2 linked regions of the Drosophila melanogaster genome follow. The protein of the gene in region 1 interacts with the protein of each later gene in a pairwise test. Each region holds a gene or a part of one and is shown on either strand. Other genes may lie near its edges.

Evidence for each region.
Region 2: the proteins of C1GalTA (region 1) and CG1674 interact in a two-hybrid assay, tested with the Drosophila melanogaster proteins (one large-scale study listed by BioGRID).

Annotation. Positions count from the first base shown.
Region 1 is NT_033779.5:8,947,254-8,954,743, forward strand, and holds the start of C1GalTA (core 1 galactosyltransferase A), read right to left. Parts: upstream 3,964-7,490; 5' UTR 3,725-3,963; exon of another isoform or gene 3,517-3,724; intron 619-3,516; exon of another isoform or gene 309-618; coding exon of another isoform or gene 154-308; intron 96-153; coding exon of another isoform or gene 53-95; exon of another isoform or gene 13-52; intron 1-12. Other genes in the region: CG46397 (uncharacterized protein), read left to right, coding at 53-95, 154-308; CG31886 (uncharacterized protein), read right to left, coding at 6,769-7,490. UniProt on the Drosophila melanogaster protein: Glycosyltransferase that generates the core 1 O-glycan Gal-beta1-3GalNAc-alpha1-Ser/Thr (T antigen), which is a precursor for many extended O-glycans in glycoproteins.
Region 2 is NC_004353.4:228,020-235,631, reverse strand, and holds the start of CG1674 (uncharacterized protein), read right to left. Parts: upstream 4,207-7,612; 5' UTR 4,032-4,206; exon of another isoform or gene 4,005-4,031; intron 3,783-4,004; exon of another isoform or gene 3,698-3,782; 5' UTR 3,679-3,697; coding exon 3,655-3,678; intron 3,354-3,654; coding exon of another isoform or gene 2,784-3,353; intron 1,368-2,783; coding exon 1,287-1,367; intron 769-1,286; coding exon 688-768; intron 1-687. Other genes in the region: yellow-h, read right to left, coding at 5,233-5,721, 6,061-6,727, 7,392-7,612.

The DNA.
Region 1 (7,490 bases):
GACTTTATATCTCATTTGGAACTCTGTCATCAAAGTGTTAAGTGTGATAAAAATGATATCGTCTAGTCCTAAACTGCCTTGGTTCACCGGCAAGGGTTTGCTGAGTTCATACATTTAACAAGCAGGTTTTTATAAACATTATGTGTTTTTTAGTGCCGCCCAGCCAAATGATTCTGACCATTTTTCTGTGCTTAGCCGTATTTTACGGCCTGGCTAAACTCATCGCCATTCCGCTGCGCATCGATGACTTCGACAGCTTCAGACCAATTCACACCGAGGATATGCAGTCACCAGGTCAAGGATTTTGAAAATCTGAGATAGACCCCTGAGCCCAGCAATTATCAATTGTAAACTGGGAATGCAATGCTAGGTTGTGTGGGTGGCACATCAGAGACCAGTGTGTTTGCCCGACTTGCTTGGCGCTTTGCAATTGCAATTGTAATTTGCAAATTAATTAAATTTAAGCATGAACAACATGTCAGACCGACATCGCCGCTCCAATCTAATGTACAATAGCAATTAAACGCAATTTAACCGCGTATTTGCTTATCATTGTAGTCTACTGATCAGATTCGAACGCCTTTGGGATGCCCGATTTGCGTGGAGTGAATAACAAACAAAAGTTTGCGAATCGTGGCAAATATTGTATTTACAAATGTTCTAATATTAGATCCATTGCCGATCCAAAAACTATTCCCATGCACTGCAGCGGCCAATTGAAAAATTACTTGTCGAGCAAAAAAGAAAATTATATAATCACATACTGTTCGGTAGCACGAATATGAACGTGTATATAATTCATACTGTCTGGCAATTCTATTTCAGTGATCTATTTGATATCCATGGTGATTAGCTTTATTCGTGCTATTACGTATTTTAGTTGTTATCTTTGAAATTTCGGTGTTTGTGGCGTACTCAGATAAAGCCAAAGATAATAAAACATTATAACACCAGTTTGTCTCGTCAAAGATGTAGTACCTTGCACAGATAATAAAAAAAAATATTTTGTGGCATTGTAAAGCTTAAAAAATTCCCTCAATGTGTGTGTGTAGAACCCTTGACATAAAACGTTTACCTCATCATAACTCAAATAGATAAGCATAACTATATTTATGGGTTTTTCAAAACCAGCTTAATATTGTAGTTAAGTTTTCCCAAAAGTCAACTTATGTAGCTTAAATTCTTATTCACTATATATGTATAATAATAATAATAATCTAGTTCTTAACTAATTCATCGAGAGCGCGTAATGGAGCACCTGTTAATAGAAATTAAGCTAAACTAAATTTATTATTATGTCATTCAGTTAATAGAGTGCCTTTTGCTTTTTTGCTGCCCTATACTCAGACTAGCGTGACAGTCCATTCATCGTAATTTAAAAAAAAAAATGTAAAAACAGAATGGGCCAGAAAGACAAACTAAAACCAGAAACCAAACCAATTGTACAATTGTTTTGTTTGGCCGCTTTTCATCTGCGGTCAATAAAATCAGCCACGCTCTGCGATCCCGCAAATATTTTAATTCAGTTATTGTATTTTATTTTTGGAGCCCGTATAAGCAAAGTACCCTGTACTTAATGTTTTGGCTCTATGATTCTCGTTTTATTTCAATTCACTTTCAGTAACTTCCCTTTCAGATAAACAATACAGTAAGGACTGGCACAATGATGTCGGCAGCTGTTTATCAAAGTGGAACTGGACTGCGGAATTGTTATCAGGCACAAAAAAAAAACATGGCATTCGTTTTTAAAACTCTGTTTCTTTGTTCATCGTGTAATAGTACAATACAGCAAATGAAAATGGAAATATTAATATGATTCATATAACGAACGAATGAGAAAAGTGATTATGCCATTAGTTCAACCTTAAAGAATTCCATTCCTTAAAATTTTGTATACTTTACGGAGAGCTTATCTATAAGAGTTCTCAAGTAACTATTATTTTCTGTCCCAATGAACAATATCTATTACTCTGTTGTTCAAACGACATCGACAAAAGCAATGTATAAGAAGAAAAGTCGGAATGTGAGTTCTTAATTAAATATTGATTAAAAGGCTTTGCTGATAGATAATTGATTGCTGATTAATGAATAGGTATAGCGCTATTCACCTGAATCTCACGTGAAATGGCACCTTTTTGGGGCCATTGAACAATATTCTATAGTATAGCCCGCGGGGCATGGCACAGCTGGTTTAAGGTTATTGGGTTAGTCTATTCAAATTCAGATTTTTGGCTTTACGAAATAACACACATTTAAGAACAAATACACCCAATACAAGAAATAATACATTAAAAACTATTTGACTTGGTATTGAATATTTTTAAAAATAATGTAATAATACATTAAGTAAGGAGCTCTTTAAGGATCAGTCTTTTAGAGTCATTCATAATTATTAAAACTCATTTACTAGGTAGTTCTCTTCTGGAAAACGAAAACATGCTAAAAGTAGCATAAAGTACTATTCTTATTCAGTCCCATATGTTGCAAGGAGAGTTCATTACTTTGATGACTGATGGAAATGGCTACTGTTTTTTTACTTGAAGCAGGAAGAACCATATGTATGTTTATAGTACAAGTTCCAGCTTCCACTATCAGTTGAATTTGAATGGCAATCACTAGGTGCAATCTGCATATGAATTATCCCCGCAACAATAACAAGAGAAGGCTAATCAGAGAGCAGAGACGAGAAATACAAATACAAATGCACGCACAATAGCATGTGCTGCTCTCTCTCTCTCTGTCGAGATAAAAATGAGAGGGAGAGAAAGTGACGCCCACTGGAACCACAAATAAATTAAAGTAAATGCGTTTCGGCTGCAGTTAATTCACCCCCCGGATGCAAAAGGGAATAGAGGGGGAGGGCTGAGTGCATGGCAGGGCATAACGGAAATGACAACTGAAGAGAGCCGGAGAGCGAGAAACCAAAATGCAGCTGTTTGGGGAATGTCATTACATTAACAGAGACAACAACAACCACCAGGATAAGACATCACGAATTGGGAAGCCACTTCTCGCCTAGTTATCAACATATTCCTTTGTGTTTAGCGGGTTATTAAAAATACTCAAGACCAACGACCCTCAAACAGATAACATATTAGAGTTGTCGCCTTAAATGCCTCAAACACACTTGGAACAGAACGTTAAATTTAATAAATGCTGTACCTTATAATTTAAACTTTTTGCATTGATTTTATAATTTTTAGGCATAGGATCAGAGTTTACAAATATTTTAGGAATGGGGACCCAAGAGTTTAGCTATTTTTTTTATACTGTTCTCAATTCTTTTCTTCATTAGCTTTATTTTAACATCCTGCAGCAAGGGGCTTTGGTAGTGTGAGTGGCCGGACTGGAAGGAAAGGCCGTCAGGCAATTCTTCCTTCCACTTCCTTCTAGTCAATTTCAGTTTCCAGTTGGAAACCAATATATGTACATATGTATATTCTCGTGCGTTACTTGCCGTAACAGTGGCTTAAACTTGTTCGTTCTTATTGTTTTGGTTTTATTCACACTCTTCACCTTCGTTTGCTCTTCCTTGTCACGTTCTTCTTGCACTCTATGTACATACACCATATGCGCAATTGTATATTATATTTATTGCGCTTTCTGTTTTGGCACAAAACGCAATTTTTGCTGACCGATTAGTTTTCCGTTCAGGTAAATTCCGCACGCGTTTCATTTCATTTGATTTTTAAATCACCGTTTTTCGCGTCGCCCATTTACTTACGAATTGATTTTTCCTCACGCGTTTCTCCATCGCAGGACGCTCCCAAAAAGCTTTTAATTTCGCGATGAGTGCGTTTTATTCACAACTGCTTTCACGTTTTGCACATTCGCTTAATTGCTGTGTTAGTCGAGCCACTCGAAATATTTAATTAAACTTATTTTCCGCGCCCTTTCCTTGATTTTCAACAAGCGCATAAGTGAAGCAAGCGAACGCGCCGGACAAACAAAAACAACTGCCGCGAATTCTAAAACTGAGCACGAGCGAGAACGAAGAGAACAGAGTACACTGGCAAGAAAATGTTGAAAGTTGTAAATTAAAAAAATTTATGATTATGATCGAAGTTGAAACATAAGCTATTATTGCTGTCTAGTGCAATAAAAGTAAAAAATTTGAATTTAATTACACCAAGTATTATTAAATATATTATTTAAAATATCAGTTCCCAATAAGTATTTTTAACTATTTCATATTTAACCAGAATATAGTACAAATTAGTACAAAAACAAATAAATTTAAATATCGCAGTATACAAGTTATTTGTTTCTACCTGTGCAATCAACAGAATTAAGTGAGAGAACCAAAGCTCACTCTCTCTCTCTCTCGCTGTTCTTTTTATATGCTTGTGTCGGAAAGGGGGTGTAAACCGGTACCGGCTTTCTATAAAGAGCGAGAGTGATTTGAAAATTATAAAAAAAACTTCTATTAAACTAAAATATTATAGGTAAGATATGTAGTTTGTATATATAAGTGGTGTGACTTCGATTTATCAATGGCCTGTTTCTCTCATCACTCGCTACTAGTCACCATATATTTGGCAAAACAGCTGTTGGAAACTATCTTAAGGGTTTGTTTTTGGGGTTGGTTCTAAGATTTGTGTCCACTCTTTCGAATATTACTTTCTCAAAGAATGAATACAAATATATGTGCATAATATATAAATTGATAATTGTACGTCTGAAATATCTCCAAAAATCACAATCTAGAAAGGAAAGAATATAAAATTACCGAAAACTTGTTCAAATTTTGATTTTTGAAAATCATTAAAATTATGATAGGGATAGTTAGGTATGCTTATGAGCAGTATAAAACAGTGTTTTTTTTCGTTAGATGTGCCACCTTTTTTTTACCAAGTTATAGAGAAAACCCCGTTTAAAAATATAAGATTTTTGTATTTTTTTTTTTTTTTTTTCTAGTAAGATTTCACAAGCTATAAAAATAGTTGTCCAAAACCGTTATTAGAAAATATAACTAACATCAAATTTGAATGCAAGAAATTTTTTGCATTGTACGTTAAAAATTTGCGATATCGCAACTGTAATTAAACAAGTTATGTATACGCGCAAACTCGTTAAGAAACGTTTTTGTTTGATTCGTTATCTATTGTACATTAACAACCGGCTTCTGTGATGCTAAAGACTTCTAATACTTCATATTCGAAACCTGAACATAGACTACTTGAAAATTTATTAAGGTAACTCCATGTTGTCAGCCAAAATTAGTGAATATACGTTAAATATTTTTAAACCCAGAAATCGAAATTAATGCAATTGGTGACGAATGCCTTTAATAAATATTTATTGATGTGGGGCTGGTTAATGAGTTCATATAACTTTTTGCAATCGATCACTTCAGATAAGATAGTATTTCTTGTTAGCATTATCTGACAACTCTGATAAGGGCAAATTCTGTCTTCTAATTAGTGAGCAACGAATGAGAGTTCAGGAGTTTTTTAAACGCTACAGTCGAGTTTCGTGACTACCAGATACCCGTTACTCAAAAAAAATGTTTTAAAAGTGTCGGCGTGATGTTTCGAAATAAAAATGCCGCGTGTCAAGATCCGTTACACCCTTTTCAACAAGTCGAGAATACCCTCTTAAGCTACGAGTAACGGGTATAAAAATCGCTGACTGACTTTATTTTTTTTACTGTAATCTTACACATTATCTACACAACCACAAGTATATACAGTGTAGATCAACATTAGATTCGTAGCAATCAGCTTTCATTTGCTGACGTTCCCAACGATCTGCTAAATTTGAATGATGTTTTTTTTTCATTTTTTTTCCCTTCTTTAAAAATAATTTTTTTTTTACTGAATACTGTTTTTACTATTTTATTATTTTCTTTTATAACTTAATCTAATGCAACTATGTTAATCGGATAATCCAAGGCACTTTGTTTACGCTGCTCAATTGAGTGTATGAACTAAAAGACTAGACAGTAAATTTATTCATTTTTAATGAAAATGTTATTTCATTTCTTCCAGGCATGTATGTGTACATGAATTTTATGTAAATATTTGCATTACTCCCGTGGCCAAATTAGGAAAAGACTCACACAAATGATCGGCAAATTAGCTTTGAGTGGTGTGCAAATTAATCTAAAATAACTAGAATCAACAAAATTTTTTTTCTCTCCTAAAACTGAAGCCAGTGGAAAATATTTTGCGGCAACGTTAAAATGTAGACATTGAGTATAAAATGAAAAATTACAACGCTTGATTACAATCAATTTTATTTTTATTAAAAAACTAATGAAAATTTCCTTAAAATTCAAATCACTTATACAAAGTCAACAAAAGCATTAAAACTAATCCTCTTCAAATGACTACATAAGAATTGTCTTTAAAATGTGTTCAGGTAAACAAAAAGATCAAAGTCGTTTATAAAATGAGAATAATTGAATTAATTGATAAGTACTACAATTTCATCTTAAAATTACTTGGTATCTACATTTATTTGTACACGATATACAATTTACATATTTTATCTTACTATTTTCCCATTTTCATTTGTAGACCAAAAAATGCTTGCGTCTTAGGCTACATTCTAGTCTAGCATAAAATCTACGAATATTGATAACGATTTGTTCAGACTGTTCATTCCGTGTGTGTATAACCGATATGGAATATTCTATGGCTATTTTAAAAGCTCTCGTTTTGGGGCCGGCCATAACGTTAACACACTCACAAGCGAGTATATCACCCGGTAGTTACCTCACCATAAATATCACAATAGTATATTAATAATATTGGATCAGGAGGACTACAGGAAGGAGCAGCAAAGGATCAGCACCAGCACCGTAATGGGAAAGATGGCGTATATCTCGCTGCGCGGATGACAGGTGGAGATCAGATTGGTTATATCGTCCTCCTCGTGCTCGATACCATCCCGTGTTGGAACCTCCACCACCACAATCTCATCCGAAAGGAAACTGATGTTGAATGTGCAATTTGTGGTATTCAGACAGCTTTGTGACTCGCTCATGTTTGAGTACTGATACGTCGGCTTGTAAATATCGAATATGGCGTGGATCTCGTTTTGAACGTGATCATTGTCGCTGTAGAATATATAATAGTAGTACCCATCCTCGATGACGTTGTGCACCACCATGGAACTCTTGTTGGGCGAAGTGTCCATTATGTGCGGATTTGAGCATTCATTTTTTGGCCTGAAGAACTCCTGCAGCAGGATCATTCCATTGAAACACTGAAATAGTCCTGTCTCAAAGCTGGACACCGAATTCGACTCGTCCGTTTCCGTAAAATTTATAGCATTTCCTCCATGGATCGTCTTTCTATCGTAGACATTCTCCCTCTTTGATCTTTTATAAAGCGTATCGTAAAGATCCTGTCTCTTCTGATTCCTATGGGCTACCCTATTGTGTCTTTTGAGACGTTCCCGGTGAGGCGGACTTTCCGCACTATAATGGGTCTTACTTGAATTCTGATCTGGATCTTCATCTTCATTTCGTATGTGATTACGAC
Region 2 (7,612 bases), on another chromosome or scaffold:
AAAAAGTTTTTTTGCTAGTCGATATAAATTTACAAGGCTAACAATTATGGAAAAATGTACAAAAACCCGTGCGAAAAAGAATGTCCAAAAACTGTTTAAAAATGTGGGCGTGGCAGTTTTGGCGTTTTTAGGGCGTTGGGGTGGGCGTGGCAAAAAGTTTTTTTTTCAAATCGATAGACATTTACATTACTAGAATCTGTATGCTGAATCCCAATCGTATAGCTTTTAAAGTTCCTGAGATCTCGACCTTCATACGGACAGCGAACAGACAGACACGGCTAGATCGATTCGGCTATTGATCGGGATCAAAAATATGTATATTTTATATAGTCGGAAACGCGTCCTACTGCCTGTTACATACTTTTCAACGAATCTAGTATACCCTTTTACTTGAGAAACTTGAGAGCAGTGTTATAGAGTGTTTTACTCTATAAAAAATCCTAATTATTTAAATAATTCTTTATTAACATTTATTTGTTTAATAGATTTGTAGAATCCGTTAATGTCGCTGAATGCCAGAAAGCAAGCATGCACACAATGCACCCCATTTTATAGATGAATGTTGCTATGAATCTTTATCTGATTAAGTGCTAAACCTACAACTAATGAAAACATGCATGTTGTACAAATTATCCATAGTAATTTGCAAACCGATCTAGCTTTTGATTAGTGAGTGGTGTTACCTACAGGCTTAATTGGCGATGGAATGCTGTTTTTTGTGTTTTCCATCTTCAAATCAGGCGCAATGGTTGTGGGTTCATAGGTTTTCTAAAAAACAAACACAATATTTATTTAGTCTACTGGGTTTTTAATCTCCTAGCTTCCTATAAAAGTATGTATCAGGTAGAAGGAAGCGTTTCCGACACAATAAAGTATATATATTCTTGATCAGGATCCATAACCGAATCGATTATTTTGTATGAATGTCGTTTGTATGTAAGTAAAGAATAATTTCAGATTTCATTGACAGACGCAGCACGAGTTTGTTTCTTTTTGTTGCACGCCCACTCTAACGCCCACAAGCCGCCCAAAACAGTCACGCCCACAAGTTTCTTTTCTGGTGTTGCCAGACCCACAGTTTTTTTTTTAATTTTATCATATGTCTTTCCGATTTCTATCGGTAACAATTATGCCCACCCAAATGCCCGAAAACCGCCAAAAATGTTATATATATTTTAAAAATGTAACGTCACAAAAGTTAATATGAAGACGTGTTTATATTTTTTAATAATTACACATGAATTTGTATTGAAATGAGCTATAAAACTGTGTATAGTCTTACTTACCGGTTCATTTAGCGAAACAAGGTCTGCTTTAGTGTTTTCGGCCGATAAATCAGATGCAATGGATGTTGGGTCATTGACATTCTAAAAATAAAGTACACTTTAAAGATCTAATCGAAATTGATAATGTATGATTTGCACGAAGCTGTAAGTAAACTTTTGTAAGCTGCGTATTAAAATAATGAAGTGCAGCTGAATGAATGTTCCAAAATTTTAAACCAAATCATACAATAATTAATAAATCAATTATAATATTAAACATATGCAATTAAACAACACAGTTCAAAGAGTCGTAGGCTTTTGCCTTATGTTTGACAAAATTTACTCTGCAGAACTGCAGAAGCTTAAATAATTATTTGCTTGTGCTCAAATATAAGCGTTATACCTAGATTAATACCCATGCAGAGTCAGAGTTTTTCGTATATATCTGAGTAGTTCCCCTATCCGTATCCGGTTCCGAAAAGCACATAGTTATAAAGCTTGACTATTTCCAACATTATTTTTTAAAACGCACTTTAAAACAAGAGAGAATGCTATAGTCGAGTTCGCCGACTATCAGATACCCGTTACTCAACTAGTGTGAATGCGAAGCCGAAATTTTATAATTATTATTGGATATCAATAGATATTGGGGAATAAAATGAGAAAAAAAATTTAACATTGTTTAAAAATGTGGGCGCGTCCGTTTTGATAGTTTTGTAGGTGAAAAAATGGGCGGACAACAGTGTTTTTGGTATACAGACAAAAATTGTATGCTTAATCTCAACCTTCTAGCTTTTTTAGTTCCTGAGATGTCAACTTTCATACAGGTGGACACTTCCAGATCGACTCGGCTATCGATCCAGATCAAGAATATATATACTTTATATGGTTGGAAACGCTTCCTTCTGACTGTTACATATTGATCAAAGATCTAGTATACCCTTTTACTTCACGAGTAACCGGTTTAGAATATGCAAAAGTGTGGGGATGACAGTTTCCGCGGTTGATGAACGTTGGAGTATGAGGGCCAATCTTTTAAAACCAACTTGCAGAAATGTCACTGGTATCAGAATGCTGAAAGTGCATATTCATATTCATATATATCTTGAAGTTTAAATGGACAAACAGGCGGAAATGGCGACAACAATTCTAAAAGAGATCCTAATCCATTCCGCCTTTTATCTGATTTTGAAGATTACGAGTAATCAGGACATTAATTCCTTAAACTTGTTAGAATTTCTTTAAAAATATAAAAACGTTTCAACAATATTTTTTTTTTACCTAAATCATGTTTTAAATATTATTGACTTAGATCCAAGTACCTGGACTAAGTTACTAAGTTACAAATACACATTTAGACTTTATGAAGTAAAAAATAAATGTAGCCTTTGCAGGGTATATGGTAAGTTAGGGCAACATTTGCTTTACTTTTTCTTTATAAATATTATGTTAAATAAAAAACATTTTTGAAGCTTGAAGGCGATAATTTAGGTCTGTTATTCTTAAAAATACAAATACTTTTTCCGACGAAGATTTAGTGGTATCCTGTGATTTGCAATTTTCGATAGCTTTATCATCTTCGCCTTTAATTAGAATGTTCGACGTGTCTTGAACAGGTGATTCGTTTTCCGCATTCGATGAATTTTCACCATTAGTACTCCCATCTATTAAGTCCAACTCGAAATTATTCTCAGAAACGGTGGACAAATTTTCCACAGATATTAATGGGTCCGTTTTAATAGATGCATCTATAATAATAGGGTTATTGGATTCGGAGTCTTCTATCTCAACAGTTCTCTCCATATCCGATGAGCTAATATCTAAAGACGGCTTGTCAATTAGTGCAGCTGGGTTTACTTCCAAATCTGTTGTATTTTTTTTCTCTGAATTACAGTCTTCAGATTCGCTTTCTTCAATTTTTAGATCGTCATCATCTTTATTATCTCTTGAAGTGACGGGTTTATCAAAACCACTGTCAATATAAGATACCAAGAGTTTTTCATTGAGATTATCATTATCTTGGGGAGTAGTTTTAATCTCATCAGCGTAATCTATTTGGGTTTCATTTTTTGTAGCAATTTCTTTCTCCTTTAGATTGTAGAAAATATGAGTTTGTAAAGTTTATTTCTATCTATTTATTAAATGGTAATATTACTATTATTTACATTAAAAATGATGGCAAAAAACGTAAACGGTATATTTAGTTAATAATTACAATAATTTATTTAAATAAATGTATTACCATTTTCTCTCTGAGAAAATTGTCAAAAGTAAATGTATAACAATGTAAAAGATGTAAAAAATCTTGTAAAAAATCTAAGCACTTTGAATTTTTTATAGGTGAATATTATATTTATATTAATTAATTAAATATTGTTTTTTGACTTACCTCAATATTTAAAGTAGAATCCATATCTAAAAGCTGTACAAATCTATAAAATAATAATAAAATGTAGAGAAAGGAATTTATATTTGTATCGTCTCAACAGGTAGGCAGGTCCTGCATTATTATTATTACATAAGGGTGTAATTTATAATAAAGCACATGCAACACACTCAGTTATAAAATATCGCATTTTATGCTGAATGTAAATACATATAGAGACACTCAAATAATGTTCGTTGGTGCTGTTATTATGTAATACATAGTGAGAAGCATATACAACATGAATGTTAATTTCTCTTCGACCACACTAACTTTTCTTTTTTTTAATATCCATAATAATAATTTACACGTACATATATCAAATATATCTTTTCACTTGCCTATTTCCCAATGTTATTTGTTTAAAAAAATATTTACTGCAAACAATACTGTAGTATCGAATTATTGAAAGATAATAATACAACTAAAATCCGTATAGGCCAATAGAATGAACATGAATTCATGCGCCTGCCTTTAAGAATATGATTGCACATCAAAGATAGCTTCCACACTGTCCACATGCTTATTTACTTGATTATCGGCTCGTTCGCATACAGCAATTTGGGAAATGTGTATTTAAAAGTCACACACAAATACATTTATTTTCACAAATACAAAAATATTTTCTCGTAAATTTATACGTATGTATACAGCATCTTTGTTCGGCAAACAAGCGCATCGATGAGAGCCCCTTTTATTGGAACGGAGTACTTTATTTACTATTTTTATAGTTATAAGTCGCAGTGTCTTATATGCACTTACATACATACCTTGTTTTTAAAACTTAAATTTACGAATGAGTAAAGTGCGAACCATCTTTAAGTTAACATCGCCCAAATTTGATTATATTCAAAGTAATATCTCGAGAAAATACTGTAACATGAATATACATATATCCATTGATGTTCGATATTTCTTTATAGATAGTAATATTCTCTTTTAGAGATGTTATATTAAGTACACCCAAAATCAAACCACTTTCAGAGGAAACTAATGACGATAACACGAACTTGAAGATACAATAGAAGAAAGAACACGCTCCCTACCTGTTACTTCTTACAATTGGATATAACCTTTCACAGTACGACTAAAAAATATAAATATATTACAAACAATTGTATACACGTTTGAATTTGAACCCTAATATTCATTCGTTGAAAACTAGAATGGCGGAGGGAAGAACTGCTGACCCATAAAGAATATACTTCGAATATTCGAGCAGAATCGCAAGCCAAGTTGATCTAGCAATGTACGTCCATTTTAATTTCGTGATCTTTAAAATTTTAAAAGCTAGAAAGCTAATTTTAGATACGTATGTTCTTAAAAGTCCGATCTTATGCCAATTTGGAACTCGTACACGTTTAAAAACTGTTATTCTTTTAGTCAATTTAGTTAATTGCTTGGACACAACAAAGCGCAAAAATCTGTTAGACCCAAACCTTCAAAAAAGGTACTAGAGTATCATTTGTAACGGACGCAAATACCAAGGTTGTTCAAAAATTTACAACATTTTGTTGTGTAATTGTTTATTTACCATAGTTTTCAAAAACACTGTCCTTCTTCTATCAACACAAAAGCTGACTTTGATGTATTAATATAACTATTATCCGGATTGCAAACACTATTGCGAATAATCTTATTTACATTCGCCTTTAAAATTCGAAAATTTACTTCTCCATAATCTAGATTGCTGTATAGAAAAATTGGTAGTCGGTTACTTATAAGCCATACATTTTGATCTTTTTCTTTGTCTACTTTTAAATCATTTGGAAATTGAATAAGATTTGAGTTTTCCATATTATGAAATTTTCCCAAATGTGCTCGAGTGTATGGTTTCGATGTATCCCAGCATCCAATATCATCTTGATGAACTTGTGTAAAAAACATAATGCCATTCCTTGTAACTCCTGATGTAGATGATTGAGAATTATATCCGCGGTCTCCAATTGGTATGAAGTACTTGGCGTACTCTTGAGTATTCGTTTGCCACACAGATTCGTTTAACAAGATATTCATAGGCACCATGAACTCCTAAATGAGAAAGTATTATAATCACAATTATTATTATTATTATATCAGTTACTCGTAGAGTATAAGGGATTGCTAGTTTGGTTAATAAAAATAAAACAGAAATAAGCCTTTTCGGACCCTACAAGCTGCAGATAATTAGCTTACTTAAGATTTAGATTTATTTAAGTACCTTAAGTAAGACTGATCAAGTAGTAAGCTGTAGGAGGGGTTTTTAAAAGTAAGTCGGCGAGCCATTATTTAGACAATAAAGACAATGTTAAGAAAGGCATTTTTTAAAATCAATATCAAATCAATTCCCAGCCATTTTCTTGTCTTTATTTATATACTCCTTATACTCACCTTGAAACTTGCCATTGGATGAAAATAAAGAACGCGTTCCATTATTTTCTTATTGTAATATATACTCATTCCAAAAACACCATCCAGCCATTGAAAATTTAATCCGTATACATTAAAATCCGAAGCAAAGGGATCCGGATAAAAGTTATAGTTGGTCACGCGCCAGCTGCGGTTTTTTGATAGGCTGTAAACAAGTAGACCAAATCTCCATACATCCGATACGATAGCATGCGCATCATCGCAATCTTCTCCAATATCCACAACAATATTGGAGTGCAACGAATCTTGCTTCACATGAGAAGCTTCCAAATTGTATCGAACAATCAGTTCGTCACTTTTAAGATCATACACAACAATTTTTGGTGGGCAGATCTGATTTAAGTTTATTGTAGCATTGACAATTCCAGAATCAATTAGCCAAATTCGATCACACCTATCTACAGCTGTTCGATAAACTGACATCAGTTTTGAGCAGTCAGGATTGTTTGGATTTCCATGAGCCTCCCAGTTTGGATACGGCTTTATTGCCGGGCTTGACTCTTTTGGAGGAAAGGGCAGTGTACCTAAGCTAGCAGGCACACCATTCTTCCAACGAGGAGTTGTCACAAACAGGCGGTTATTATGGACATCAATGCCTAAAGGTAAATTATTTTTTGGTACAAAGTCTCTGTAAATATTAATATATTATAATAATTAGACAGTAAATTCAGCGCAGTAGAATAACACATAAAGCCAGATTATGATAATCCTTTATGTAACAGTCTGTAACAGCCAGAAGGAAGCGTTTCTGACCATGTTCTATATGGTCATATACAATATTCTTTATAAGGATCAATAGCCAAGTCGAACTGGCCATGTACGTCGATCTTTATTTGCATTTGCATTTTCCCTAGCTGTGTAACGGGATTCTGATAGTCGGGGATCTCGACTATAGCATTAGAGATAATGCTAGGATTTATTCATCAATATTAAAGATATGGATGAGACGCACTGAATGATTCGAATGAAAAGAAAGTATTTATAAGAACTAGTCTCCTATAGTTTTCGAGATAAGATATTAATTTGTTAATTTTTTTTCGCATTCGCAGTTCCACGAGCTGATTAACGGATATCTGATAGTCGGGGATCTCGACTATTTGTGACATAAGAGCGTCAAATAGTTTATTTTTCGAATTTTCTTTTATACCTCTCACAATACAAGCATTTTAAATTTATTAAAGGCGTATTTTTTGATTTTTTTACTAGTACTACAATTTGTTATTAATATTAATACATTTTTCAAATTATCTCTTGATTTGTAAGAAACTGTTATAACCAAATTGTTTTGTTACCCATTTAAAATAGATTGTTGGCGTTGCACAAAAGTTGAGTATAGGAAATCCAAATATTTCCATTCATAAACGATCTCCAGTTGACTTTCACTCTGTAAGTTTTGCGAAAACGACTGCGAAGTATATTCATAGCCATCAAGTGTTTGGAAAACTGGTTGAACACTTAAGTTTCCATTTAAAGTCTTCGATAAAAAAACTAACTGTGTAATTATATTAAAGAT